3 linked regions of the Elephas maximus indicus genome follow. The main gene of each other region encodes a partner of the protein of the gene in region 2 in a complex. Links are inferred from orthologs where the notes say so. Each region holds a gene or a part of one and is shown on either strand. Other genes may lie near its edges.

Evidence for each region.
Region 1: UPF3B (region 2) and MAGOHB share a complex: the UniProt entries of both Homo sapiens proteins name them as parts of the mRNA splicing-dependent exon junction complex. The link is inferred for Elephas maximus indicus from reciprocal best matches to the Homo sapiens genes UPF3B and MAGOHB.
Region 3: the proteins of UPF3B (region 2) and UPF2 are in contact, whole or in part, in a crystal structure (PDB 7NWU), measured with the Homo sapiens proteins. The link is inferred for Elephas maximus indicus from reciprocal best matches to the Homo sapiens genes UPF3B and UPF2. Residues at the interface, in NP_542199.1 of Homo sapiens: Lys52, Arg56, Arg57, Tyr79, Glu81, Phe83, Asn85, Asp86, Thr87, Ser88, Leu89, Tyr90, His92, Tyr94, Arg96, Tyr98, Ile130, Glu132, Pro135, Phe136, Lys138, Ala139, Ala140, Arg147, Asp148, Lys150, Val151, Gly152, Thr153, Ile154; in NP_056357.1 of Homo sapiens: Lys767, Arg768, Pro769, Pro770, Leu771, Glu773, Tyr774, Lys777, Lys790, Arg793, Gln794, Arg796, Lys797, Leu798, Pro799, Trp800, Gln801, Cys811, Ile814, Asn815, Trp817, Tyr837, Gln838, Glu839, Asp840, Ile843, His844, Val846, Asp847, Gly848.

The regions. Positions count from the first base shown.
Region 1 is NC_064822.1:69,354,254-69,364,008, forward strand, and holds the start of MAGOHB (protein mago nashi homolog 2), read right to left. Parts: upstream 4,052-9,755; 5' UTR 3,986-4,051; coding exon 3,892-3,985; intron 1,519-3,891; coding exon 1,460-1,518; intron 596-1,459; coding exon 485-595; intron 1-484. UniProt on the Homo sapiens protein: Required for pre-mRNA splicing as component of the spliceosome. Plays a redundant role with MAGOH in the exon junction complex and in the nonsense-mediated decay (NMD) pathway.
Region 2 is NC_064846.1:37,042,536-37,052,622, reverse strand, and holds the start of UPF3B (regulator of nonsense transcripts 3B), read right to left. Parts: upstream 3,703-10,087; 5' UTR 3,632-3,702; coding exon 3,476-3,631; intron 2,551-3,475; coding exon 2,444-2,550; intron 2,277-2,443; coding exon 2,170-2,276; intron 107-2,169; coding exon 8-106; intron 1-7. UniProt on the Homo sapiens protein: Involved in nonsense-mediated decay (NMD) of mRNAs containing premature stop codons by associating with the nuclear exon junction complex (EJC) and serving as link between the EJC core and NMD machinery.
Region 3 is NC_064822.1:45,340,183-45,350,005, forward strand, and holds the start of UPF2 (regulator of nonsense transcripts 2), read left to right. Parts: upstream 1-5,738; 5' UTR 5,739-5,813; intron 5,814-9,823. UniProt on the Homo sapiens protein: Involved in nonsense-mediated decay (NMD) of mRNAs containing premature stop codons by associating with the nuclear exon junction complex (EJC).

The sequences.
Region 1 (9,755 bases), on a different chromosome or scaffold from region 2:
TTATTCTGAAGGGAATATGAGAGGCAAAGAACAAAGAAACCAATCAAATTCTTCTCTGGGACATAATAATGCAAATAAGAATTCTAAAAGTTATAAATTTGGGGAAAGTGAACTTCACATAGTCAATTAAAATTATAAGTCTAGAACTGACAAACAACACTTGTACTTACTCCTAATAAAAGCAGTTAACATACAATAGAAACTATTCATAATTGTGAAAATATCCTAATTTTAGCTAGGTAGCTATGATGAAGATTATCCAGAAAGATCTCTAAATTTACAGCTATACATTGACTCCTTTCTACTATGATGTAGCATGGAAAATGAATCTAAATGAAATAAAATTCTAAAATAATTATCAGGTGCCTACTAAATGTAAAATCAAGACCCAGGGAAGACTCATTCTAAATAAATAAGGTGAAACATAACAATTACATTGCCAATTTTTAATATTTATACATTTAAAGAATTATTAAACACTAACCTGTCGGCCAACCCTGTCAGGGGGAGGCCATAAAGCATCATCTTCTTTGGTAATTTCACTGTCGTCAATAATTCTCTTCAGTTCTTCCATTACACTCTTGTGTACATAAGCCTGAAAATAAGTTATAATAAAAATTTCATGCTTGACTATTTCTTCCTACTACTCAGAAAGAAATGATTAAAAGGAGTTACAAACCCTGAATATTCAAATATAATATTATAGAAAATTTTAATTCTGATTTCAAACTTACAGGATGGGAATCATTCGTTCTCCATATGTTATTTTTTTTCACTCTTTACCCTTTCTTCTAGTACATATTTTTCCTTCTTCTCATCACTAAACCAAAAACAAACCAAACTCATTGCTGTCCAGCAGATTCCGACTCATAGCCATTCTATAGGACAGAGTAGAACTGCCCATAGAGTCTCCAAGGAGCAGTTGGTGGATATGAACTGCCGACCTTTTGGGTAGTAGCTGAGCTCTTAACCACTGCACCACCATGGCTCCAATCACTAGCCGGTTTTAATACACTATATTCCATCTTTGAAACATGGGGACTTATATATCTCAGAGTATAAATGGTGACAGTACAAAGTCTATGAGGTAAAGAGAGATAAATACCAAACACATACCAGTTACTGCTTTGAACTTTTTCACACCTCATTTTGAGTCTTTAATTTAAAATGTATACTATTTTTAAATCATGTTCATTAATTGGCTTTAGGTAGCAAATAAAAAACAAAATTAATTATAAAATAAATTGGATGATATGTTCAAATGTGGGACTATAACTTAATATATCCAGGTAGCTTCTTTTGTTGTTAGAGATGCTACAATTATATCTAATTTAATTGAATCATTTTTCAATCTATAAATTGGCTTCTTCTTTACAAACAGCCTCAGATGTACTTTTGTTAATTCAACAAACATGAGGAAAATGGACTAAATGTAAAAAAACACACACAAAAAACTTACCTCTTTTCTGATCATAACATCATTTTTGTAATTGCTGTTGTTGGCATATCTAAGCTTTCCTATGGAAAGTGGAAAAAAATTCAATCCATAACAGTAAAAACTGCTAAAAAATAAATGATACTGTAAGCAATTTTTATATCACATTAGCATTTCCTCCCTCCTAGTGTAAGATCATGGCAACCCCATTTGTGTCAGAGTAGAACTGTCCTCCACTAGGTTTTCAATGGCTGATATTTGGGAAGTAGATCGCTGGGCCTTTCTTCCGAGGCACTACTGCTGAACCCAAACCACCAGTCTTTCGGTTGACAGCCCAGCGCCATCACCATGAATAAGAACAGACTTGAAGGCAACTGCTAACTGGTGTATAAGATCAATGTTAGACATAGAGACACTCAATAAATATTTGTTGTTAAGTTGGTAGAAGGTGAAGCTAGTCAAATTTTTTAATATTCCATGCCTACACTATATAATATGAAGGTCATTTTTAAGGCCCATTTTCTTAAGCTATGTCATGAACTGGAAAAGAAATCTGAAAAAGGAACTAATATATCTTTTTAAGTTTATGTTATATATCTGTATTGGTGCTAAGTGTTTTACCTAAAGCATCTATTCTAATGGTAAAAACAACCCTAAGTAGTAGATTTTATTATCCCTATTCATTTTTTTTTTTTTTTTTTATTCATTAGTAAGAAAGCAGTTAAGTAACCTGCCCAGGATCATACAAGGTTCATATCTAGACCTACTGTCTTCCAGTACTCATGCTTTTTCCACTACTCCAAAACATTTTCTTTTAATTATTTCCCTTCAAATTAATGTACATGATTACAGCAATAGTAATGTTTTAGTACTGTGACAAGCAAGCATACAAATTCTGTTCTGGCTCTGGATAAAAGATTACCAGTTTGTTAGCTGATTTATATTTAATTTTAAACCATCATGACTTTTGTACTCTCTGATAAATCGTTCTCCTCACAGCCAGTCAGTTGTCCAGGTACAGACGTAATGTGGTCCTGACCCTCTAAAATAATAGGGTGCCCTAGTGCAACGGGTTTGTGTGCGTGTGTGTGTGTGTGTGTTTTTAGGGGGGGTTAGTGATGTGTACCCCTTAGAAATTGTCTGTGACCCACTACTATTGATGGAAGTATGTGGTACAGTGTGGTGGAAGATAAAGGGATGAGAACCACTGTTCCGGCATAAAATTTCCCTGATACGTCAGGGTACTTAATTTATTTGACTGGCTAAAAAGGCGTATGGACAAGCTGGATGATGTTCACAGGTGAGGGGAATGAAAATAGCATCACATAAGAAAAGCTCAGATGAAGAATTCAGGTATATTTAACTCCTTAACCAAATTTAGAAAAGACATGCAGATGACAGGGTAAATGAGGTGATTTAGGTTTCTAAATAACAGCAGGGCTGTAGATACCTTGATTTCCACCTGAAATGCCTGATACTCTTCCCCTTTCCTAGTATGTGATCCTCTCTCTAATTTTTCTTTCATATTCTCAAAGAACTTTGTCCAAAGCATATCCACACTGCTTTATGGTTAATTTCACGTCTGTTTCCCACTCAAGCATAACTCTTTGAGGGAAATTAAAGACTCTTACTCTTTACTGAATCCTTAGTTTTCTATTTATCATTTTCCCAGCACATAATATGCACTCCAAAAGAAAATCTATTCAGTTGAACCGTCCTTGTTGCAGGTGGATAGAGTTCAATATACAATAATGCTCTCTCTATAGTCAGAGCTGTCAAAAGACACAATTTGCTACACATTACATGGCAACAGGCAGCTTCACCTTGCCCTCTGTTCATTCTGTTCTCCCAGTCTGACTACCTTTTTTCCTCAGAGAACATGAAATACCTAAGCCTATTTCAAGATTCAGTTCAAGGGTCACCTCCTCTAGGAAGTTTTCCTTGACTGCCTCATGTAGAATTAACCACTCCCCCTTTTGTACTCCTAATGCACCCGGTGGTAAACAACTCTATTTAAGCACCCAAAACACATCACCACACTTATTTGTTCCCACATCGGCCTAAACCCTTCAGAACTGGTCTCATTCTCTTTCTAGACCTGCTGCCTTACACACACTGCTCAATCAATGAATGGGTAGTCCGGAAGTTATCGATCACCAGTTAAGATCTTAAGCATCCACCGGTCCACTGCTTGGTGGGGTGTTACAAATGTTCAAGTATTAGGTCTTTAAAGCAGCTGGCCTTAAGATGCCTTCCGGCGCACTGATTTCAGGATGCTGATTACCTTAGGTTCTAAGCTCCCATTTGTTTCGGCTCAAGCAGTAGCCTGTGTTCGCAACGTACACTCCAGGCCCACCGAGGCTCTCTTGCTCCACCCCACCTCCCTTATTCTCCGCTGCATCTCCGCCTCGCCTCCCTTAGCCCAGCACCCCGCCAGCTGCCCCTCCTCGGCTCACCGTCTGGTCGAAACTCGAACTCCAGGAACTCGTGCCCAAACTTGCCCTTGTGCCCTACGTAGTAGCGCAGGTAAAAATCGCTAGCCATAGCCATTTTCGCGCCTGGTAAGCCCTCCGAAGTCCTGGAAACGGGCCTCCCGGCGCCTGACAGTGACGTCAAGCGGCCCAGAATAAGCGCGTCACTGCGGCAGCCACGATTCTTCCGCCAGCGCTTCTGATCCCCGAGGAAAGCACGGAGGGAGGTTAGGAGTGACGTGAACGTCGCCTCCTGACGTTTGGAAGCACGTTAAAATAAAAATTAAGTGATTCCATTATATTAGCAGAGGACAAAGTGTAAAAAAACATAACGGCATTTTTGTGTGGGCTTAGAACTGAGATTTACAAGTCGGTTTTAATTTTTGTGTATTAAATTCTCACCGTGCAATCCATGGGTGGTGCATGCAAGCGTTACCGCCAGAAGTTGGAGGCTCCAGTTCACCCAGAGGCGCCTCAGAAGAAAGGCTTGGAGATCTACTTCTTTAAAAATCAGCCATCGAAAACTGTACGGGGCCCAGTTCTATCCTCATGGGGTCTCGTGAGTCAGGATAACCTCCAGGGAAACTGGTAGATCTCAGTGACAGGCCTGTGAAGTGGGCATGGCTTTTTTGCCATTTTAATTTGTGAAGTGAGTAAAGCTAAAGCCCAGAATCCGAGTGGGAGACCTGGAATACGTCCATTTCTCCTGCCTGATTTCAAGCACGGGGCTTTCTTTAAACAACGATTGCTGGTATCAGACAGCTAGAAGACTATAATAATAAACACAAAATGGAAGGAATCCATCAGAGGAAGAGGTCTGAAGTTTTGAAAGGCACATTGAAACTAAAACTCCTTGACCGTATAGAAGAGTTATTTTTTAATATCAAAAACTTATAATGTGCTTCATTCCATATTTAAGGGTTAACCTCTAGTGTCCTACAGAGTTTTGGCAATTTGACTTAAGATCAAGTAATGATTTAGCCCACGTTTCTCATCAGATAAATTGAATTGGGGAAGTGAACAAAGAGAAGGATGAGGAAAGACAGAGCGAGCTTTTACACAGTCTGTTTTTCAAATATTATTGATCACTCTTCTGTTACCAGCAGAGTAATTCTGTGTGTTAAATGATCCCATAACCCTCAGCAGGGTTTAGTAGAAAGAGTAGCGCTCAGAAAACCTAAGAGTTACCCAAATACTGCCACTATTTAACCTTGTCAAGTCAGTGTCTCTAAGCCTGTTTGTTCATTAACCAAGTGGATATACCACAATCGACTGTGAAGCTCACGGAATTGTTAAGAGAATCAAATAACGTATGTAAAATAAGCTTTGAAATATATAAAGCATGCCCCATGTGCCAGAAATGGTGGACACAGGAAATAAAAAGAGCCTTTTGCATTTATAGTCTAGAAAAGAAAACAAGCATATAGACAAATACTAGCACAAGACAGCAAATGCTGTAATGAAGAATATGTAAAAAATGCTGGCAGTACAGGAGAGGAAGCAAGTCATTCTAGTGAAGAGTAGGGGAAATTGAAGAAATGGGCATATCAAGGAAGGCTTGTAAAAAAAAAAGGTGCTATTTGAATTGGACCGTGGCAAATGTTCAGAGGGATGGAAGAGCATTCCAGGCACAGAATGTGCTCAGCAAAGTCAGTGGTGTGAAAATACATGTTTTGGGAAAACCAGCACATAGCTAGAATGTAAGATTCATGGAAGTGAAACGACTAGAAACGCAGACTGGGCCAGGTTATATTCAGCCTTACAAATAAAGCGTTATTACATAACTGTTAATATAGACAAATTACTCCTTACTATTTTTTTTTTTATAGGCCACCATGTTGGTTGTCAGCTGCCATCACGTTGGCATCACCACGCACAAAGGAACGAAACACACTGCCCGTTCCTGAGCCGTTCCATAATCAGGTGCAGATCCGACCTCTGTGATCCACAGAGTTTTCATTGGCTGCTTTTCAGAAGTAGATCACCAGGCCTTTCTTCCCAGTCCATCTTAGTCTGGAATTTTCACTGAAACCTGTTCAGCATCATAACAACACTTCAAGCCTCTACTGAAAAACAGGTGGCGGCTGCACAGGAGGTGCGTTAGCCAGTTACCAAACCCAGGTCTCCCACATGGAAGAGGAGAATTCTATCACTGCACCATCAATACCCTCAAAATATTCCTTAGTATCTCTGAAAATACAGACTGTGATCCATTTGGTTTGTTTTTTGGTGAAAAATGAAATCATTCCTACTTCCAATCTTCAGAATCATCTTCTACTTTCCTATGATAAATACTAGAAATGATAGCCTTTCATTTTCATTTGTTTATTTTATCTGTAATTTTTTACTAATTTTTATTTTGTACTTGCTTACAGAACAAAAATTGTCTCATTCAGTCAAAGGACCTGAGGAGTAAGCCAAGAATATTTTATGGTCTAAAATTAACTCTTTATATTTTAATGCCAAAAGACTTGTCACTTGAATCATGATAAGAATTGCAAAATGGTAAAGTATTTGTGTTTTGGGATCTTCTAGGATGTCATACAGCAGTGATGTGGAAATTTTCCATATGGCTACAAAGCACTGAAATGTGGTTAGGGACTGAGGAGCTGAATTTTTATTTTTACATATTATTAAATTTTATTAATTTAAGTTAATACTTACATAGCCAAACATGGCTAGTTGCTACTATGCTGGACAATCCAGTTATAGAAGACCCTTTTCAAACATTCTTACTTGGGCTGGAAGTAGTAAAAATATTTTGTGAATGTTAATCTCAGTTGCCATAGGCTTCAAATTAGGGCACAATTACTAATATCACCACAGTTTATTTATGTAAATAAATGTTTGGGCTGCTTTCATGAAGCCAAATGAAGTCTTTTCTTTGGACTACCATTACCTCGTTTGCTAATACAACCTATGTGTACTCAGCTTCAAAGTACCCTCTGACATAGGTAAAAAGTAAACATTTTATTGTCAGCTTCACTTGAAATTGAGGCTCAATGATTCAGGCAAATACACAAAACTCATTGACAAAATAATGATGCCCCAGGAAAGTTTTTAAAAGTTTATTGCTTTCAGCTTCATCGTGATTAATCAAGTCAGGAGGCTACGGGCAGAGATGGTTCTTATACCAGTTAATTTAATATTTAAAATGTTCTACTGATTTTTCCTACAGCTAAAATTCTCTCTTCCTTTGACCTCTCTTTCATATCCCCTTTGTCTTCACACCTTTTTTTGCCTCTATTTAAAATTATCAAGAGGAAGCCCTGGTGGCGCAGTGAGTGGTTAAAGCGCTCAACCGCTAAATCATTCCTACTTCCAATCTTCAGACATCTTCTAACTTTCCTACAATAAACACTAGAAGTGATAGCCTTTCATTTTCATTTGTTTACTTTATCTGTAATTTTTTAATAGTTTTTATTTTGCACTTGCTTGTAAGCAAGTACAAAAATTGTCTCCTTCAGTTAAAGGACCAGAGGAATAAGCCAAGAATATTTTATGGTCTAAAGCAGTATTTTAAGGTGGTTTCTTTTTATTTTATTTGTAATGCCAGAATGGCATGGTCTATTTCAGTCTTTTTCCATCACTTACCTTTCTCTTCTCTTTTCTACAATAGACTTCCTTGTGGAATTTTAACCAGAATATTTTTTTAACCACTCAGTGGTATTAATTTTTTAATAAGAGAACTTCCAAAATTTCCACACCATTGTTTTTCAGGTAAGTTCATACATGGTGAGTACTTGGAGCTATTTCTAGGTCCTTTTTCATGACAGGATAATATATTTAATTCCATTTTTCAAATTAAGAATTCTTTCCCAGTATATGACAATATTATATGTTTCTAACGCATACATAACCACTAACTCTTATGTCCAAAACAAAAACGGCCTGTTAAATTAAGCATAATAGGCTATCTTCCCAATTTACCATTATCTTTGCTACTTGTTTATTTGTTAAAATGAGTTATGATAAAGCAACAATGTAAGAAAAATTATTACGGCAAGGTTACAATTGAGAAAATTCTACCCATTAACTTACTTTTTCTTTTAAATGTTAAAAAAAAATTATAATTCAGTTTTAACAAAATACCCAAATCCAGCGTGAAAATCACTAGTACTCTGCCTGAGCCTGATTGAAAACTACTGGTTCAAATGATTCCAAGTTAAATGATATTGTCAAGTTCCCAGTGTGACACTGTATCCAGGTGATGTTGGAAATTTCTTATCAATAAAGTATTTTTGTTGTTTTTAGTTGAGGGGGTTATCAAAGCAATAAAAGAAATACCTAATTTGGCTGCCTGGTCAAAGACGCCAGAATTAGAATTCCAGAAATAAAATCTTCCTTTTGGAAAAAGCCTGGCCACCTAAGGAAAAGACCATTTTCTTAGAGTAAGCAATTGCTGTATCCAGTTTCCCAGACCTATAAAACTAGGGATAAAACTTTAAAATAATAGGTGTCTGCTTCTTTCCCTATTACCAAAATAAATATGAACGGACAGTATGAAAGAGCAGTGCCCCATTGTATCTTGTGCCGCCTGCCCATGAACTCACACTTACCTCTTTGCAGTTCCTCAAACAACTGTGCTTTTTCTTGCCCAAAGGTTTTTAACACATATAGTCTTTCTCCCAGTTCTCCTTTCTTTATCTGGCTTCCTTACTCATCCCTAAGGTTTCATTTTACATGCCACTTCTTCAGGAAGGTCCCCATCTCATACTCCCTTCATTTATCCCTTTTTTCAGAGCACTTACCACAACTGCTAATTAACAAATACCCATACAAGTAAATATATAATGTATCTCTAACCTTCTAAACTATAATCAAAACTGCTCTGTTTCTTGTATCCAACACCCATCACAGTGTCCAGTACAGTGGGCCCTACTAATACATTTTTAAAAGAATATTTGAATAAATAAATGCTCTGTGAATTTGATTTAAATGAACTGCTGAGAGCCAACAACGAGATTCCGCAGGACTTTATCGTGTGCTATGCCACTCTCCCTCCTTTTTCCTTCTGCCACTTGCCACCTTTTAAATCGTTGTGACATTAAGTCCTTGTGGTACCCCCACAGCTGCAAGTGTCATTATTCAGTTAGCTGACTCGTCATGACTCCAGCAGGATTCCAACTTCTACAAAATTTTCCACTGCCAGGCATCTTTCCTATAGCCATCTTAGATGTCACTCCCAGGCTACGCAGAGTATTGTTTAGAAGCACAGATCAACCGAATTGCCATTACTACAATATTTTCAATACTTTGAAGGAGTAGAAGACTACTATCACCATCCAGAAGCTCACATAAAAAGGATGACATCATCATTTTGTTCATGTGGTATTTGTACCATCCCATTATCTTCAGGAATGTCCTGGCTTGCAATGTAGCTGACAGACTGAGGTTTTCAGACCCAATAGATTTTAAATGAAAAATATATGAAAAGTTCGGGAACAGGAAGGGACAAAGAAAGAAAAATTATATTTATTGAGCACGTATGTGCCAGATGCTGTATAAATACTCTCTATCCTCACAACAACCCTGTGAGGTAAGTAATATATCCATTTTACACATGCAGAGTCTCTTTTCTGACAGTGGAGAGTGTCTCTGGAATTCTTCCAGTGGCATTAACTTCTATTAATTTACTTTTATCATCTCTATTGTAGAGATTAAGGCAGCTGTATGCCAGAAAAGTCTATAGTCACTCAATAAATATTAGTTTAATGAAATAAGTTTCATAACACATAAATGGATGACTCAAAATTAGAAGATACAACCCTTCTTTCTCAGACTACATCCTTCTCTAGCCCTTATGAAAAACCTTTCGAGATAAAGCTTTCTTGCTTGGTTTCCATGTT
Region 2 (10,087 bases):
ACTGTACCATCATCGATAGTCCCAACTTTGGTATCTCTTTTCTTAGTTTTCTTTTTTGCAGCTTTTTGAAAAGGTGCAAATTCTACTATAGCAGGATATTCTTGACCTGTTTAGAAAAAAAAAAAAACTTGCTATAACAAAGAAAATGTCAAAAGTGAGTACGAAGGAGTCAACCCGCTGCTCTACAGGCCTCCTCTGATGGCAGTAATCTGAAGAGGGTTTCCCAAAGGGCATAAACAACACTGGCACAACTATACTCAACATGCTATCAAAGGAACCCAAAATTCACACTGATAACATAATGAAAAGATATAGCAAATAAAGAAGATTTTTATTTACTCAATTCCTAAAATGTGACATTTTGATTTGTGAAATAAACTAATTTAAAAATACATCAGAAATGTCCAGAATAGGCAAATTTATAGAGATAGAAAGTAGATTAGTGGTTGCCTACAGCTGGGGGCAGTGGTGGTGGTGAGAATGAGGACTGACAGCTAATGGGTATGGAGTTTCTTTTTGGGGTGGTGAACATGTTCTAAAATTAGGGTGTAGTGATGGCTATACAACTGTATGTATATTCTAAAAGCCACTGAACTGTATACTTTAAAAGGGTGAATTTTATGGTATGTGAATTATATCTCAATAAAGCTGTTATTAAAAAAAAATACAGCAGATCCCGCCATAGAAAAACGTCACGCAAGACATAAAATACCATCTTTAGCTCGTTGGCATGTAGACATGAGCCAGAATCATACAACTAGAAATGGCCAGGAGGCATTATAGTCATGGAAAAAACACGGTTTTGGAAATGCTAATGAATGTTGAATCAGATTAGCTTAATAAAAGTGATATACTTGAGGAGAAGGAATAGATAAACCAGGCTGAAGCAGTGAGAAATACAGGCTGAGAAAACAGAAGTAGGACCAGACTATGGAGGACCTAAATACTGGGCTAAGGAGTTTAGACTTTTTTCTTTAAATCACAATTATCTTAAAATCAGTATTTTTAAAGATTAATTTCATGGCAATATAACAGAATGAATTACACAAAAATGGAAAATCCTATAAGTTTAGAGCCAGTGGTTGTCCAAGCATTAGGTGATAAGGATATAAACTGTAAAAGTGTTAGTAAGTCTAGATAAACAAGACATTTAAAAATAAACTGACAAGATTCACTACTTGTTTAAGTGTAGGGAGTAAAAAAGGAGAAAAAGGTTAAATGCAACTCAGACTTCCATGCTAAGCAATTAGGAAATCATTGCAATCTACTGGAATAAAAATTGGAGTGGAGAAGTAACTGGTGTTGGAGGAGGATTAATAGAAGGTAGCCAATACACAGTGGCAATCCTTCAATTTTAACCAGTATATTTCCCGGCAAAGATTTAATTTTTACCAACTTTGAAGGAATACTGAAAAAACAAAAGAAAATGACACACCATTCACCTGTGATTGCATAGCCCAAAGTGGCAAATGGCAGCTAGGGTATCCTCTGACTAAATCTTGCACAAGTAGCAGGTAATTAATAAAAAGAGAGTTACGGCAGAAACTGTTCTTCCCTATAGACTGGACCCTCCTGGATGAAAAGGGGGAGATCATCGAGTTTGTTGTTTTAATTACACACAACTGAGTGAGAATGTCAACCAGTATTCCACTGGGAACTGTTGGCTTAAAGTATTTGAATTAAATAACTAAACAAATGTTGGTCCTTGAAGCAAGATGAGAAGTAAACATGTAAAACTTGCCTTACAAGTTTAAACAGTTATTTATCAATATTGCTGCTGAAACTAGTAAATAATTAAAACATTATCATCTAATCCAGGGTGCAAAATTTGTCACATGAGAAAACGGTGGTGATTTCATCCAGTTGATCAAACCACAGAAAGAACAGGTTAATAAATACTAGAGGGCAAGTGACAAGTTAAACTACCAAAAACCAAACCCACTGCCATCAAGTCAATTTGGATTTATAGAGACCCTATAGTGACAAGTTACATATCTATTTATAAGACTGCACTAAGCTCATCGCCTGTGTAAAAACTCTCTAAATGTTACACATTTTATCACCCAGGATTTCAGAAAAGCTATGAAAGCACTGACTGTGATGCACACATTGTCTTATACATATAAGTGACGAAGAAACTCCCCTTCTAGTTCAGTTATAAGGACTCACCTTTATTGTCAAGGAATACATAACCATCAAAGCGATCCCTGAACAAAATAATGTCCTCTTGGTTTTTAAAGTTGATGTATGCTCTGGCATACATATGAGGATACAGACTGCAGAGAGGAAAGCAATTATGTAAATGTGCTTGCGGGGGTCTGGCTGAATTACAAGTACACATACATTAAAATGAAGAGGATCAAAAATCAAATGGAAAATATTAGTAGGAGGCAAAGAACAGAAGAAATCTTTCTCTTTTACTCCCCTCCCCCTTTTCCTTTACCTGGTATCATTAGAAAAAAACTCAAAATAATCATGCTCGGGCATAGGCTGAAGATGTTCCAGAAGCTGCTCCTTGGTCAAAGTGGGAGGTAATCTTCGAACTACCACCTTAAGAAATGAATAAGGAAAATCAAATTACTACACATCAACTCTCTGTCATACCTGAACGAATCACAGTTCCTGAAGAAAGCTGGGTTTTAAAAGATGATTTTACTTGTAAAAACCCAGGAGAAAATATTCTTCGACAGCCTAATGATCAGAAAGAGTCAAACCTATTAGTAACGCGGTTTTTAAAAACTCTTACAACAACCGCCTGGATTAAGGACAACCTCCGGTTCTGCTCTTAACCAGCGGCCCTGCAATTTATTAGGTTTGCACAGCATTTTTTATCACCCATTTTTCAACAAATATAGTGTTAAGAAGTCAGTAGGCCAACCCTGGTCTTTTGTGGGTGCCACAAACTCTTGATTTATTGATATCTCCCTCCACATCCAACACATCCTAAAACAAAATCCTTTCTCATTCAGTTTAAAGAATTCAAAACTCTAACATTTTTGGTTTTAACGTTAAGAGTATAAAAAACGCACCTATTACTCCCAAAATAGGATGCTCCCGATCCCCCCTACAAAGACCACTAATCTCCCCTAAGCGCTCCCCCAACTCGCCTCCATTAATCCTATCACAAACTACTCCCGCCTCTGAGGTCCGCCTCACGATTTAATAATTCTCCCCAATAACCCTTTTAATTTTCCATTCTCTTCACTGTCGTCCCATCGCCGATAATCATCTTACAGCTCTGACCTAAACCCTTCTCATCTGGGGAGCCCCCCTTCCCTCACTTCCACCCCAGGGCTTGACCGGGAGGGGATTCCCTCATTTCAGGCGAATGGGTGAGGTAGGGTGGTGCGATTTTCATTCAGCCGAAGAGACAGGAGGGGAGACTGGGACTTGAAGGGGGCAGCCCCAGTCCCAACCATGCGCTGTGGGCGGCGGACCCGTCCCACCCTCTCGCGGGCCGACGGCCGGCCGGCACCTTGCTCAGCGCCTCTTTCTTCTCCTTGTTCCGATCCTGTTTATCTTCCCCCTTCCCGCTTTCCCCCGAAGCCCCACCGCCGCTGCCTGTGGCCCCCGGGGGCGTTAACAGGGTTACTCGTTTCTCCTTGGGCCTATGCTCCTTTTCCTCCTTCATGGCCACGGCTACGTTTCTCACAGCGGCTGCAGGGCCTATACGCCGCTATGTGAGACACCGACGAAACCCGCCCAGCTCCCTCAGAGCTCCGCCCCCCAACAGAGGATCCTAGTTACAAGCCCGGCCTCGCTTTCGATTGGGCCGCGCCAGGATCTCGCGAGACTTCAGAGCGTCCGGTTTCCCTCAGTAGAAAGGTTTTAACACCTGGTCGTTACTTCCCGCTTGCTGAATCCCGGCACTCTTAATCCGGTCGCGGCCCAGACTCTGTCGGGGCCTGCTCTTTCGCACACCATTAGCTATCCCGCCATTTTGAATAGAACTACTCTTCGGGGACTACAAATCCCGGCATACAAAGTAGCTACCTACTTCTGGCCGGGAGTGCTGGTAGCCATAGATTTCTCAGGGTCCCTATTTGTGAGTAAATTGAATGCTCTAATCTTGAAAGCTCAGTGTTTTTCAGACCAAAATATAGGTTCTGTAGGCTGTACTTCATTTTGTTTTTCTCAGATAAACTCAGTGTTCTCCGAGTTTTACCTCATTAGGGGAAAGATTTGTATTTTCTACTATTCTAAAGTGTACTTCCAGAAGTTTTAGAATTTTTTTCTTTATATTGGCTAGGATTCATAGCTGATTCACATAATAAACACGCAGAAGATGCTGATATTTAAATGACGTGATATGACTAAACTGAGATTTGTTGTCATCGCCTTTTTTTTTTTTTTTAAAGTATTCTATCGTTGTATTGCTGCCCTGCAGGAAGGAAAAAAAAAATAAAACCCAACATGATTTAGTTGGAGTCACCCTCCTCTCCACTTAAAAAAAAGCCAATTATATATTATTCATAGTAGTCCCAAACTGGGAAGAAAGAAAAGAGAAGGAGAGGAAGGAAGGACTCAAAAGAAACCCCCGAATTCCTCCTTATTTCACTGGACTCTCTAAGGTCCTTCTTCCCAAGATGGGCAATATCGTGTTTGGGACCACACCCCAGAAAAGCAGAAGAAAGATGTCTACGCACACATACATACAAGCCTTACTCTAAAAATTCATCCCTGGCCTTCCTAGAGCAGGCTGCTTTCGACAAGTTCTATTGTCCCTTTTGTACTCATTCATCTCACAAATAAAACTCCTTGTAGGTAGCATGTGGGACTGTCTGGCATTCAACTCCACTTAGCTTAATGGGAACAATAAAACTAACATCTAATTTCAGTACAAAAGTTATTTTCATTTAAATGTTGTGTTCATTATTCTTTTAAAAAATAATTCTTGACCCAGATCAGTGCTGAAATGACCCAGATCCTAAACAGACAATTAGGAAGGGAGTTGGATAATTTGTAAAAAAAAAAAAAAAAAAAGCCAAAAAATTTGTTTCGCACAAGTGCCTACTGACTCTAATGTTATCTGTGAAGGAAAGCATAATATTTTCTTTTATATATTAGTCAAGTTAAAGATATGTTTGAGAGCTTTGGACTCCAGTATAAAAAGGAAACTTACATAGTATGATTATTTCAAATACTTTTCCATCAGTTAAGGATTATAACAAATAGTGTTAACCAGCTGTTTTCCATGTCTAGTGATGACATAAAGCAGGAGAGAAGATTAATAGAAAATATGAGTTAAGGGATTCAGTTTCATGGGAGATAAAGGTGAATTTCTCAATTAAAAAAAAAGTTTCTAGTCTGAAATGGGTTACTGAGCCTTGGAGGGATTGCATTAAATTCTGAGTGAGAACATCACGCTTATGTAAATTTGTAAGTAAATCAAATAAACTTAAAATCTGGGAAATGTGTAACTTTCCGAGGGGGGTGATTTTACAGGATATAAAAGTCAAACAAAAATTACAAATGAATCCTATTTCTCTAGTGTGAATTTACAAAGTTCCTATGTACTGAGACCAAAACCAAATCAAACCCTTTGCAGACAAGTCAATTCTGACTCATAGCAACCCTATAGGACAGAGTAGAACTGCCCCATAGGGTTTCCAAGACTGTAATCTTAATGGAAGCAAACTACCACATCTTTCTTCCACAGAGTTGCTGGTGGGTTCGAGCTGCTGATCTTTCAGTTAGCAGCTGAGTACTTTAACCACTGCGCCACCAGGGCTCCCTTTTACATGCTGAGAGTGAGATGATATTTAGAGAAAAGGAGGCTTACAGACTTTCACAATAACAGAAACAATCATGTTACCCTATGCTGGGCATTAGTGTTAATTCATTTGGCCCTCACACCAGACCTATGTGGGTACTGTTGTTTCCCCAATTTTGCATTTCCGTATTTTGCAACATAAATTAAGACAGATATGTTGGTGGCTCAAACCCAGAATTACGTGGCTGGCAAATAATATGCTGATTAATGAGCCCAGATGACATCTCTAAGTCTAGTAGTTTAACACACACAAAACTAGAAAAAAATCCAGTTATCTTAAATATACTGGTAAATTCTCAGATGTAATAGTAATGTTAATGAAATGCTGTTTATGTTATATTAAAAACCAGTTGCTATTGTGTCAGTTCCAACTCATGGCAATCCCATGTATGCAGGGTAGAACTGTACTTCACAGGGTTTTCAAACCTGTGACCTTTCAGAAGCAAATCGCCAGGCCTTTCTTCTGAGATGCCTCTGGGTAGATTTAAATGGCCGACCTTTTGGTTAGTAATCAAGTGCTTAATCGTTTGCACCATCTCGACTACTAACCCAAAGGTTGGCTGTTGAAACCCAGTGGCACCATGGAAGAAAGGCCTGGCAATCTGCTTCTGAAAAAGTTACAGCCAAGAAAACCCTATGGAGCAGTTATAATGTACAACACATGGGGTTGCCCTGAATCAGAATCAGCGCAATGACAATGGGTTTGGTTTTGAGGTTTATGTTATATTACAAAAATATAAAGATACTCTTAAAAGTATAGTAACACATTGCGTGGCTGTAGAAGAAAAGACAATTAGAGAGAGAGATAATGGAACTTCAGGTTTGAGGAGACTGAGGCTATAAAACAAGCCCCCAAAGGGCGGGGGGAATACCAAAGAAGAACATATAAGCCCCTCTTAAGCAAAAATAGGAGCCCTGGTGGCGCAGTGGTTAAGAGCTCGACTACTAACCAGAAGGTCGACAGTTCAAATCCACCAGGGGCTCCTGGAAACCCTATGGGGCAGTTCTACTCTGTCTTACAGGGTCACTGTGAGTGGAATTGACTCCACAGCAACAGGTTTGTTTTTTGTTTTTTAGCCTAAAATTAAAAAAAAAAGTTAAGTTCAGAAATATGTTTCTCCTTTAAGCATGGTAAACTTCTCAGCGGTATGGATTAAGGGCTGAAGGGAAGAATGGTTCACAATGAACAATTTTCTAATTCTGAGTAGTAATCCCAAAGATAAAAAAAAAAAGTTTCCAGTGTTAAAAGATCTCATAGTTCATGTTTCCTCTTTATAGATGTTAAAGATCCTTTGCCTTTTGGTTGTTTCAGATGCTTTAAAGCATTGTTTGGATGATCATATAATGATGAATAATGGTGAGTTTAAAAATGGAATCATTTAGATTCACCAGCCAAGAACAGCGTATTCAAATATAAAAGCTTTATCTTGATGATGATAAGAAGAATAATGTTAAATTAGTCATTTTTCTACAATTTTAAAAACTATTTGAATTTTTCCCATTAAATCTTAAACTCAAAACAAAAGGTTGTTTGCCTAATTAATCCCCCAAATCCTTCCCCTCCCCCTTGCCCTTGTACTGCTCTCAGTTTCACGCATAAACAAAGGAGGGGATGACCTACTGACTTTTTATTGAAAATGAGGGTTTACCTCTCTTACGACCACCATCTCACCCCCAATGCACACATATAGTCAGAAAGTGACTGAGGGGAGAAATGTAAAATAATTTTGTCTATTCTCCAGTCTCAATTAAAAGAGAGAAATGGACAGGGAGTCTTGAACAGAGAGAAAACAGTGTTTTGGACCTAAAAATACTCTGCTCATTGGTGAGCTTTGCTATAAATTGCTTTTCTCTGTACTAATAAAAAAAGCTGGAAATATAGAATATTTATGACTCAGTGAGCTAAACAAGAAACCTTATTACCTGAATAATCATCTTGAAGGCATGTTTCCAAGTAAGATTAAATTTGACTGTGCTTTGTTCTTATTATAAACTATGGGGGTCCTCTTTATTGTGCTTCCCTGACATTCAATATAAGGATATGAGCACTCTTGTCATAATGTTTTACTTGAGTCTGCTTTACCTAGCCTGTGTTATGCATTGCATTAACTCCAATAGATTCTAAAACGTGTTTTGGAAAATTCCATGAAGTCATAAACGATTGTAGAAAGTAATGCTAGCTCACAAGTTGTACCTGTTATTAATCACTGAAGTCATGGTAGACTGTCAAGACACGAGTAAATAAAAGTAGTGCTAATACGATTTATTCACAATGCAAAGTCTTGTACTTCTGTATACTTTTCCTTACCCCATCCTTATTATTTAATTATATTTTTCATTAAATCATAATTCAGTGTTAACATTATTATGACTATGTAAATGTTCATAGCTGAGACATGTAACATATGATTATTATACTTCCTTTTTTGTACGACATTTTGTTTTTCCTGGAGTCCCCTGGTGGCGCAAATGGAAAAGTGCTAGGCTACTAACCAAAAAGTTGGCAGTTCAAATCCACCTGGAGGTGCCTTGGAAGAAAGGCCTGGCAATCTACTTCCAAAAGATCACAGCCATTGAAAACCCTATGGAGCACAGTTCTACTCTGATACACATGGGGTCACCTTGAGTCAGAATTGACTTGACAACAACAGGTTTTTAATAAATACCTTGGTTATTTAGTTTGATTGATTGATTTCCTTGTACCAGTACTATTTTTCCTCCAAACTCCTCCAGAGATATAAAACCTGCCTTCATATGGTCAAATGTGAGGCAGTGTATTAGTTTTATTTATTTTTGGAGACATTTCTCCTCATGTCCTCTACTTTCATCCTCCTGTAAGGATTGGTTGATGTTTAGGTCTGCTACAAGAGCTATGGCATGCTATGGCAGCTAACCAAAAAGGTCAGCAGTTCGAATCCACCAGCTGCTCCTTGGAAACCCTAGGGAGCAGTTCTACTCTGTCCTATAGGGTTGCTATGAGTCGGAATTGACTCGACGGCAATGGGTACACAGATGTTCTCCTGGGTCTTCTCTTTGCCTTTCTTCTATGTTGGATTGTTCTGTTTACTTGATGTTATTCTACAGTTTTTGATCAGTTAGGTTGTTTCCAATTTTTGGCCGTTACAATTAATGCTGCTACATACATTCTGGGAAACCCTGATGGCATAGTGGTTAAGAGGTACGGCTGCTAAACAAAAGGTCAGCAGTTTGAAATCCACCAGGTGCTCCTTGGAAGCCTATGGGGCAGTTCTCCTGTGTCCTATAGGGCCACTATGAGTCAGAATCGACTTCACAGCAACAGGTTTGGTTTTTATGTACATTCTTCTACACGATTCTTCATGTATTCATTTCTGTTAAGTATATATCTAAGAGTGGAATTGCTGGGTCATAGGCTGTGCATACTTGTCAACTTGAATGGAAAAAAAATTACATCTGTATTTTCAGTAACCGCTAACTGAAATTCAGCATTTCCTTCAATTATGAATGTAGGCAACAGCAATACTTGTGATTATAGCTGATAGAAATGCGAGACCATTTCCTACTACATTATAGTTATTGCAGATAATGTAAAATGTTTCTGCTGATGTGTTCAGTTTCTGAACTTTCCTAGGCTTCTGCGGGGCAAATTGTCTTGCTCATTGGCTTCCTCCTGAGCGTGTACTTAGGTTTCACATTTCTTCTGTTCAGCTAAACAAGCGTTGTGTCCTTGTGGGTCCTGATCTTTTCTAATTCTCTATTATCATCTTAGTGAAATTTCAGAGTGGTGTGGAGATGGAACATGTTCATTCTAGCATGTTCCCAAAGTCCTCTATGTGGCTTTAAATTTCTATTGAATCTGTAGTTATGTCTCTCTCTCTCTTTTTTTTGTCTTGATATTATTTACATGTACCTTCACTCTTTTTGAAGAAGCCCTGGTGGCACAGTGGTTAAGCACGTGGCTGTTAACCGAAAGGCCATCGTTTCAAACCCACCAGTCACTCCATCTCACATGGTTTTATATGTATTTTATTGTTGTTCAATTTTAATTTTTCCATAGTTTCCGTTATTATTTTCTCCAACTCTTTAGCTATTTAAGATTGTGTTTTTAGTTTTTAGAGGTATTTTTAAAACTATCTTTTTACTATTGATTTAAAATTTCAACATACATATTTGATTTTTAATGAGCTTAGAGTTAATAAGTAACTGCAGCATTCTCCCAAATAATACATGAAGTTTTCAATACTTTAGTTCCAGTCTTTCCCATCATACCATCTACTTTTCCATGTTACAGTCATAAGGTATTTGGGTTTCTTTTTTCTTTTTTTTAACCTTCCC
Region 3 (9,823 bases), on a different chromosome or scaffold from region 2:
CAGTTATGCCAGCACCATTTGTTGAAGAGCTTGTCTTTTCCCCACTTAACGGACTTTGGCTGTTTGTCAAATATCAGCTTTCCACAGACGGATGGATTTACATCCAGGTTCTCAATTCTGTTCCATTGGTTTATGTGTCTGTTGTTGTACCAGTACCAGGCTGTTTTGAGTGGCTGTATAGTAGGTTCTAAGATCAGGTAGTGTGAGGCCTCCCTCTTTGTTCTTCTTCTTCAGTAACGCTTTACTTATCTGAGGCCTCTTCCTTTTCCAAATAAAGTTGGTGATTAGTTTCTCCATCCGCTAAAGAATGCTTTTGAAATTTGGATTGGGATTACATTGCATCTAGAGATCACTTTGGGTAGTGTGATAGTTGAGATTGTGTGTCAACTTAGCTGGGCCACAATTCTCAGTGCTTGTGATCACTTCCCTGCTGAGACCTGATACGTGATCACTCCTATGATGGGATCTGCTCCAAGTAGCCAATTAGCTGAAAGGGAGTTTCCTTGGGAATGTGGCCTGCATCTGAATATAAGCAGACGTCTGGCAAGGCTCAGGGGCTTCTGTTCATTCTGGATCCTGCAGCTGGCTCCTGTTCATCTGACCTCCGGTCTTGGGACTTGAGGTAGCCATTTACCTGCAGTCTTCCCTGCCTATCTTCAGATGTGCTGATCTTCACAGCCTGTGAGCAAGAGCCCTGCTCTCCGACCTGCTGGTCTTGGGTTTGCTAGCCCCTGCAGCTACGTGAATCAGGAAAAGCCTGTATACTGATCCACAGACTTGGAACGTTCCAGCCTCTACAAACACATGAGCCATTTCCTTGATATAAATCTCTCTCTACCTATATATTTATATGATTTACTACTTTTGCTTCTCTAGAGAACCCAGCCAAAGACAGGTAGTATTGACACTTTCACAATGTTGAATGTTCCTAACCATGAGCATGGTATATTTTTCCACATACTTTTCTTTTTTGTAGTTTTCCACTTGTACTTCTAGATTCTGTCCTTCCTACCACCACGAGGATTTTCTCCTACGGCTATCTTTTTTGTCTTTCCCTGCTATCATTAATATCTCCTTGCCCTCTGAGTATAAAAACACTATATATCTCACTTAAAAAACACATCAGGAATAGGAGTAAACGGAATGGGTTGCTAATTGTTTACATGAACAACTGCCTTCTTTGCCATGAGACCAGAAAAACTGAATGGTGCCTAGCTGCCATTACTGACCAGTTTGATAAAAAAAATTCTATAGAATCCTGATCAAAAGGGGGAAAATGTAGAACAGAATTTCCAATTATCATGGGATCCAGACTTTATGGAGTCAGAGAGGTTGGCTGAACCCCTAAAACTATTGCCCTGAGATCATCTTTAAACCTTAAACCTCAAACTAAAAATATCCCCTGAAGTTTTCTGAAAACCAAGCAATAGTTTAGCTTAACTAGTAAAGAATGTTTGCCTTGAGTATTGTGCTCTTTTAAAATCTATCTATATGGAATGAAATTGACAACAGCAATTCGAAAGATTAGACAGGAAACTTGGGGTGGCAGTTAAAATTTTTGACTTCTCAGGTTTCTTGGGCTGCTAGTGCCCCACTTATAGTATGTGCTCATGTCTGATTGCTAGGAAATCCAAGTCCCACTTAAATTCTTTGCCTCTATGGTTCTTGGGATGCTAGTGCCCAATTTATAATACATCCTGCTGTCTGAAGGGGACATGTATAAAAAATAATTCAGTCATGAAAGGGCTTTTAAACTAAACTTCAGCTCCTAAAAGGCAGAAGTTGAATTTGTTCAAGGTCTGGCACACATCTGCAGGCAGTCCACATCATTGTATTATATTGGCCTGAGGTCAGTGGGTATAGGCTGTAGTTAGAGCTGGTAAGCCTCACCTGATGCCTGTTTTTTTTAAGTCAGGCTTTGCTTTGCCCTGTAATTGTAATCTCTGTCCTCTGACTTTGATTTCTTCTGTGAAGCAGCAACATTGTGGCTAGGTTTTAAGTAGAAAATAGTGTAAGTTTATATAAACAGCAATATAAATAGCAAGTTTTTTTTGTTGTTGTTGTTTTTGTTTTGTTTTTTAAATCCATATGGTAGTTATGTCAGTTCTGTCAATTGGAGCAAGCAAAAAGGAGGATACTGGATATTTTTGAGAATTTTCTCAAATAATGAAGTATCTACATAACCAGTTAAATGCTTAGTACAATATATTTTCAGAAAATAGTGGTTTGAATTATTAGAATGCAAAAATGATGACCTCTTTAGAGTGGCATGTCTCTTCAGTTAGCGATGTCAGTGATGTCCCCACATCAGAAGGCTTTTGGTGGCAAGCTTGATAAAAATGATCAGCAGCATTTTCAGTCTATGTAAAAGCTTACATAAGTGTAGCAGGATATAGTGAAAAGAGCTTGGCTTTTGGAATTAGATTTGAGTTGAATACTAGATACTATGGCTACTAGTGACTTTGGGTAACTTTTCTGACTCAGTTTCCTTATCTACAAAATGGAGATCATAATACCTACAAGATTTTCATGATTATTAATTAAACTAGCAAATGCTATTTTAAAAATTGACGCCTTTTGAATTATGGTATTGGTGAAGAATATTGAATATACCATGGACTGCCAAAAGAATGAACAAATCTGTCTTGGAAGAAGTACAACCAGAACGCTCCTAAGAAGCAAGGATGGCGAGACTGCATCTTATATACTTTGGACATGCTGTCAGGAGGGATCAGTCCCTGGAGGACATCATGCTTGGCAAAGTACAGGGTTAGCAGAAAAGAGGAAGACCCTCAATAAGATGGATTGACACAGTGTCTCCAACAATGAGTTCAAGCATAATAATTTAAGGATGGTGCATGACCAGGCGGTGTTTCGTTCTGTTGTGCACAGGGTCGCTGAGTCGGAACCAACTCCATGGCACCTAACAACAACAACAAAAACAGCAAATGCTCAATAAAAATGCCCTCCTCCTTTCTTCTGGAGCCCTGGTGGTGTAGTGACAAAGAGCTACAGCTGCTAACCAAAAGGCTGGCAGTTTGAACCCACCAGCTGTGGCTTGGAAACCGTATGGGGGCAGCTCTACTGTGTTCTATAGGATCGCAATGAGTCAGAATCGACTTGAGGCAATGGCTTTGGTTTTTTGTTTGCTTTCCTCTCTTCCGATCTCTGTGTTAAAAACGGTGAGATTTTGACAATTGAAGAGATCAACTATTAGAGAGAAAGAGAGATGTCTGCAAATAGGCAGTGAGTTCTAAAACTGCTGTGGCTATTGCAAAGCAGTTTTTTGCTTATATCCAATTTACAATGCACAGTTGGTTCTTTGAAGGATATACAGTGGTGCAAAAGAACATGTTGCATGAAATACACAAAATCTTAGAGATTCAGGTCTTGGGGAAAAAAACCTTTTAGGTTAAACACCTACCATTTGTTACCTTAAAGTGAGCAAGGTCCTTGGGAAACAAGGAGGGGGATTTTTGAGATTAATGAGGTTGGTTTGCAGGGGTATATTTAATGATAAGATGCACAAAAGTCTTGGACCATTGTACAGGCTTGGGAATTGCTTAACACCTGTATTCACATGATTTCCTTTTAACAACCTGATGAAATGCAAAGGCTGATGTGATTTGAATGGGGCGAGAAGGATTTATGTATCAACAGCAGAGGCAAGTCTTCTTAAAGTATTCAGGCAAATTAAGAAAAAGGAAACTTGGAAGAGAAATGTGGGTGGCTATTTATGGCAAGCATAGTACTTTGAGAGCAATTATTTGTCTCTTTACTACTGTTTAAGGACCCTGGGAGGAGCCCTTGTGGTGCAGTGGTTAAACAGCTTGGCTACTAACTAAAAGGTCAGCAATTTGCATCCACTAGTGGCTGGGTTTTTAGCGGCTCCTTGGAAACCCTATACTGTCCTATAGTGTCGCTATGAGTTGGAAATCAACTCCAGGGCAATGGGTTGAGTTGGGTTATGAGTTTGAATGGTCGCAGCACACAACTACTACCTTTTAAATGATTGACCTATTTGGTGTTTTGGAAAAATTTTTTTTTTTTTTTTTTAATACGAGAGAGAGAGAGGCACCAATTATTCAGTTTGGTAAGGGAATTTGTGTGCTAACAACGGGAAGACAAAACAGTAAATAGAAGCAAATAAGCAAAAGCTAATTAAAGGGAACCCAGACCTGCTTGTTGATGCCTTTGAATTGTGGTGTTGGTGAAGAATATTGAATATACCACGCCAAAAGAACAAACAAATCTGTCTTGGAAGTACAACCAGAATGCTCCTTAGAATCAAGGATGGTGAGACTGCGTCTTACATATTTTGGACATGTTGTCAGGAGGGATCAGTCTCTGGAGAAAGACATCATCATGCTTGGCAAAGTACAGGGTCAGCGGAAAAGAAGACGACACTCCCAGTGGCTGCAACAATGGGCTCAAGCATAACAACGATCCTAAGGATGGCTCAGGACCCGGCAGTGTTTCGTTCTGTTGTGCATAGGGTCGCTGTGAGTCCGAATTGACTCAACGGCACCTAACAACAATAAATACCTGCCTCCAGTGTTGGAGGTGGATAGCAGCTAATGCCGTAGGCTTGGATACCTGGTAGGGCGCTGCAGGTCAAGCAATGAACAAGACCAGCTTTACACCTTTGTTCCTTTGGCTCATGACCATGTTCCTTTGGCTCATGATCATGTTGGCAGAGCCTCTCTAGCACTGTTTTGAGGCACCAACTTCAGGAATTTAAGGGGAACTAAATAGTGTGTGGATACTCTGATACCCATTTGAAAACTCGACCCGAGTTTATATTTGGAGGAAACATGGGAGCTGCCGATTTTTTTTTTTAAGGGAGATTTTGCGCAGTAATTCAAGAACATTTCATTGTAATTTTAAAATTTGCTTGCTAGTACCGGGCACTTTCTAAGCCGTATGGGAAAAGTCTTGACTCTTCACTCTGGGATATATTTATACCGAACACCTAAAACTGCTCTGGAAATTCCCCCACGGAACTTTTGTAGTCTTACTAAGGCATTCTTAAATCTAGACCCATCCCTAATCACCTTCCTTTCCAGCCATATTCTATAGCCTCCCCACTTTCCAATTTCCTAAATTTTCAACCTCCCTCAAATTAGTCCAATCAAACTTTCCCTTCTTAGACCTCTTCCTTACGTTCGCATCTAGAAACTCCTGTAACAGTCACATGGCCAACCTTGTCCTTAACGGCGCTCCGTAATTCCCCCCCCCGCCCCTTCTTACCTCCTGCTAGCTCCGCCCCACCCCATTCTCGTTCCCCTCCCTCCAGTGTCTGCGCCTGCGCACCTCCAGTTCGGGCGCTTTCCCTTTCCTAGTGACCAATCCACTTCCTGCCTCCGGTACTCAGAACACTCCTCCCCGCTGTCGGGGCCCTGGCCTGAGGTGTTAGTAGTGGCTGCCCCATTGGCTGCCTGTCTGAAAAATTCGCTCCTCCTTGAACCAGCCGTTAAGTGGCTCACACTTACATGAGCCGTTGCTCTGGAACAGCCACCGCAGAGCCAACCTGAGGGCATTGGCATGCCGAGGGATGGGGGATTCGGACTGTTTTGCAATCTGGCAATCGCTCAGACAGCCTCTTCCTTTCGGCCTCCCTCCGCCCCGCCCCCACCCGCAGCTCGGCCGCGCTGGTGAGTGGCGGGCGGGAGGGCCGTCGGGCGGAGGGAGGAGGGGGAGCTGAGGGAAGGCGGGTCCTCGGGTGCGAGATAGGTGGGGGGAGGGGAGGGGAGAGCCCGAGCGCTGGAGTTGGTGCTGGGAAACCCGGGGCTAATGTTGACAACAGGCTCGAGGTGAGTCCCGGGGAACCTCCTTCCCCTCCGCTCCAACGATCGGGAGGAAGCGGGGCTGGGGGACTCCGGCCTGGACCCCTACTCCCTGAGGGACCCAAGGGGCGACTCCGCACCCCAGCTCTCCTGGGGTGGGGAGCAGTAGAGGGACCGCTGGTCCGGCGTCGTCCTCTTCAGACCCCTCTCCCGGAGGCTCCCATCCATCCGGCTCGGGGCAGGCTTGAGGGGCGGTAGAGGAGGTGCCTGCCCCACACGCCTGGGCCGGGCCTCGGAACTGGAGGCGGGGAGCCTTCTGTGGCGGGGTGAAGGTGTTTGGGGGCGTGGAGTAGAGCGAGGGGAGGTTGGGGAAAGCTCTGGGAGAGCTGGGAGGGAAGCGAGGGCGAGGAAGTGGGGAGGGCGAGTGTGTGGGAAGATGTAGAGTAGGAAGACTAGCGGTGAGTCTTCCGTGGTGAAGGGAGTGTGGGTGAGAAGTTGGGGTTGGGGCAAGGATGGTCTGCGAAGGTCACCCGTGGGTGGCCGTAGGAAGGGAAGTTGTAGCGGGGAAGTGTGTTTGATACAGGAATGTGGAGGAAGCAGGGGTTGGTGGGAGATGTGTGTGTAGGGGAAGGGGTTTTGGTGTATGTGAGGATGGTGGACCCGGGTCATTTAGTTTATTTCCATTTGATCACAAGGCTGGTTGATTCTTTGCTTTGCCTTCATTCCAAGGCTTCAGGTACTCTCTTGTTAGTACTGTTGGACTAAGGAGATGATCATAGGCTATTCGGTGTCCAGATTGGCAAAGCAGAGCCAGCTTAAAGGCTCCAGGGGTAGTCACTGGACTGGCCGGACCATCAACTCTTAAAAATAGTAGCGCTTCAGATCAAAGTAAAACTATCACCCACCCTTTTCATTTATCATAGTTTTCAGTGGTTCATAAAAATTGCATGACACCTCAAGAAAACCATTTTTGAACTCTGGTGGAATTTGTAAAAACTTTGAATGAGTCTCTTTTTGTTCTAAGGACATTCTTCAAAGACTAAAGTTAAAAACTGGGAAATAATGCTCCTGTGTGGTTCTGCCCTTTAGTTAGAACATTTGGACTAATACGAGATTAAAAGGTAAAACACTATTCTCTCACTCTGTAGTGATTTCATACATAATCCATACGGTTCATGCAAAGGAGACTCTTTAAAAGGGAAATATCCCCTTAAACCTACCCCTCCACTCTGTTGGTACCTCTTTTACCAGTAAGATAATTTCACTGGTAACTTCAATGTATATTTAGAATACCATATAAAATATACAGCCCAAGTGCTCCACCAGGGCACATTTGGGAGCTAAGAAGGGCGTTTTAAAGCATGGTTTCCTTTTCAGAGGTGTCTGAACATAATTTTACTTAACTCGGTAAAATACCTTGTTAGAGCTATCATATTCTAATGTAAAGAGCACTGATTTTTACCTTGATTATTTTGAGATAAAATCTGTTTAACGTTCTGGTTTTTACTTGACAAACTTTTTGAAACACCTTAGATAAAGTCTTTGACTGTTTATTGAAGCATGAATTTATTATTAAAGAGTTTTAGCATTGTATTAAGTAATTAAGTTGAGCATTAAATTAAGCCTAATTTAATGTTCAGCTTAATTTTTAAAATTTTCTTAGTATACATATGTAGTGATCTGAATTATGTCATTTGTAGATTTTGTTTCCTAAATATTAAAGTCAGGTTATATAGTGGAAAAGAGCACTGGACAGTGAGTCTTGGCCCAGCCCGCACACTATTTGTGTAATCTTGGACAGATCACTCTGCTGCTGCTACCTCAGAGTAGAAATAGAGAATCAGAATGGATGAAGCCTAATGGGTTTTCTAACTCTAAAATAACTTTTCAGTGTTCTATAGGGTTGCTATGAGTGGCAATCTACTCGATGGCAGTGGGTTTGGTATTTTTTTGGTGTGAAAGAGAATCAGCATTTGTTGAGTGCTTCCTCATGCTGTCTGCTATGCTAGAAACTTTATTATATCAAGACCTCTATAAGATAAAAAAATATTTCCATTTGTTGATGAATAAATAGACTTGGGGAGCCCTGGTGGCAAAGTGGTTAAGAGCTCAGGCAGCTAACCAAAAGGTCGGCAGTTCGAATCCACCAGCTGCTCCCTGGAAGCCCTATGGGGCAGTTCTGCTCTGTCCTATAGGGTTTCTGTGTTGGAACTGACTCCATGGCACACAACAACAACAAACTTAGAGAAATTAAGGTGCTCAATTTCCATAGCTAGTTTGGGATGCAAACTTAAAGTCTGTCTGACTCCAAAGCCCATGTTAGTTTCACATGTTACATACTGCCCCTACGTGAACCTTTAGATTTTTGTCATATTTCTTGTTCACTGAAATTTAGCCAAGTATATGCTTATAATGTAGGCATGACATCATTCAAGGAAGACAGCAATATCAAGATGTAAGGGCCTTATTGAGAATCTCTTTGTGTTTTATCATGTTCTCGATTATCATGAATGCCTACTAGAGTTTATTTCATGTAGTAGGTATTTGAGATAAAAATTTATTAAGTAAATGAATACTATAGAGTCACAAAGCTTTGGGGGAGACTCTTTTGAGCTAATAAATGGTGAGTGATCCTTTATGAATTTGTCAGATTCCAAGCTAATTTCTTTTTAAAATTTAAAAAATAACTTTGATAAGATTTCATTTTATCTTCATAATAAAACATAAATTTTGATGCCATTTTTTATATTGTCTGAGAACTGTAATTACTTGTAACCCTAAAATTCACTTGTTGATGCTTCACATCAGAAAGTACAAATTCTGTATTATTATTTTAATTTTTTGCACGTAATGACGAATATCCCTAAATAAGATTGTGCTTACTTAGGTGCTATCTTGTCCTCGTGCTTTTCAGCCAGAATCTGGGAAAAGTTAAAGACATTATGTAAAAACTGCTTAACCATTAATTATTAGGGGACTCTTTCTACCCCAAGATTCATAATTCTATAATTTGTCATAGTTAGGATCTATGATCAAGCCTTCCAACTCACAATTTGGTGCCCTTAGGATTCTTAACTTTGGTTAAGAATGTGAGTTCAAATTTCAGCTCTGTCTTTAGCTGTGGAGGCCTTGGTCAAGTTACTTGGTCCAGTCTCAGCTTACTCATTTATAATATAGGGAAAATAATACCCACTTCATAAAGATTTTAGTATTAAATGAGATAATGTAAGTAAATGTCTAGCACAGTGCTGATGAGCGGTAGCTGTTAGTGTTATTTGTTAAAAGGTTTGCTGATTTTTAGGGCATGACCATATTTTTCACATTAAAGGTGGGTATTTTTTTTTTACTTAATTGAGGATGTGTAAGAATTGATAACTAAATTTTTAGATAATGTAAATGTAAATACTTTCTTGGCACATAAATAAGTTATGTATTTCCACATTTTGAAATGATTTTTTAAACAGGATTAACAGCCTATTTTTTTGTTTTTTTGTTCTGAGTTCCACCAGTGGGGTTAACTAAAGCCTTTAGGTGTCATTGTCAAAATGAATGCATAGAACATGGAAGTGGAGGAGAATAAGAGAGTAAAAGAGAAAAAGGGGAAGGAAGAGGTGGCTGAGAGAAGGTACAGAGTGTGGCATGTGCCTCCAAAAATTACTTAAAATTCTCCTACTGGCCTAGGTTGTCTTTCTCTGATAACATTTTATAACAGTGCTGAAGTAAGTTCTTTGTGTGTTTAAAAGTATTTATTATTGCACATGTTTTGTTTGCTAACCTAGTTTTGCCGCAGTGATGTAAAACCTGTATTTGAAAATACCTAAGAATACCATGTATATCTTTAGCTTTAATAAAAACTAGGAAGTTTAGGTAATCCTGTACTTCTTAAGGAGCCCTGGTGATGCAGAGGTTAAGAACTCGGCTGCTGACCAAAAGGTCAGCAGTTCAAATCCACCAGCTGCTCCTTGGAAACCCTATGAGAGAGCTCTGCCTTGTCCTATAGGGTCGCTATGAGTGGAAATCGATTTGACAGCAATGGG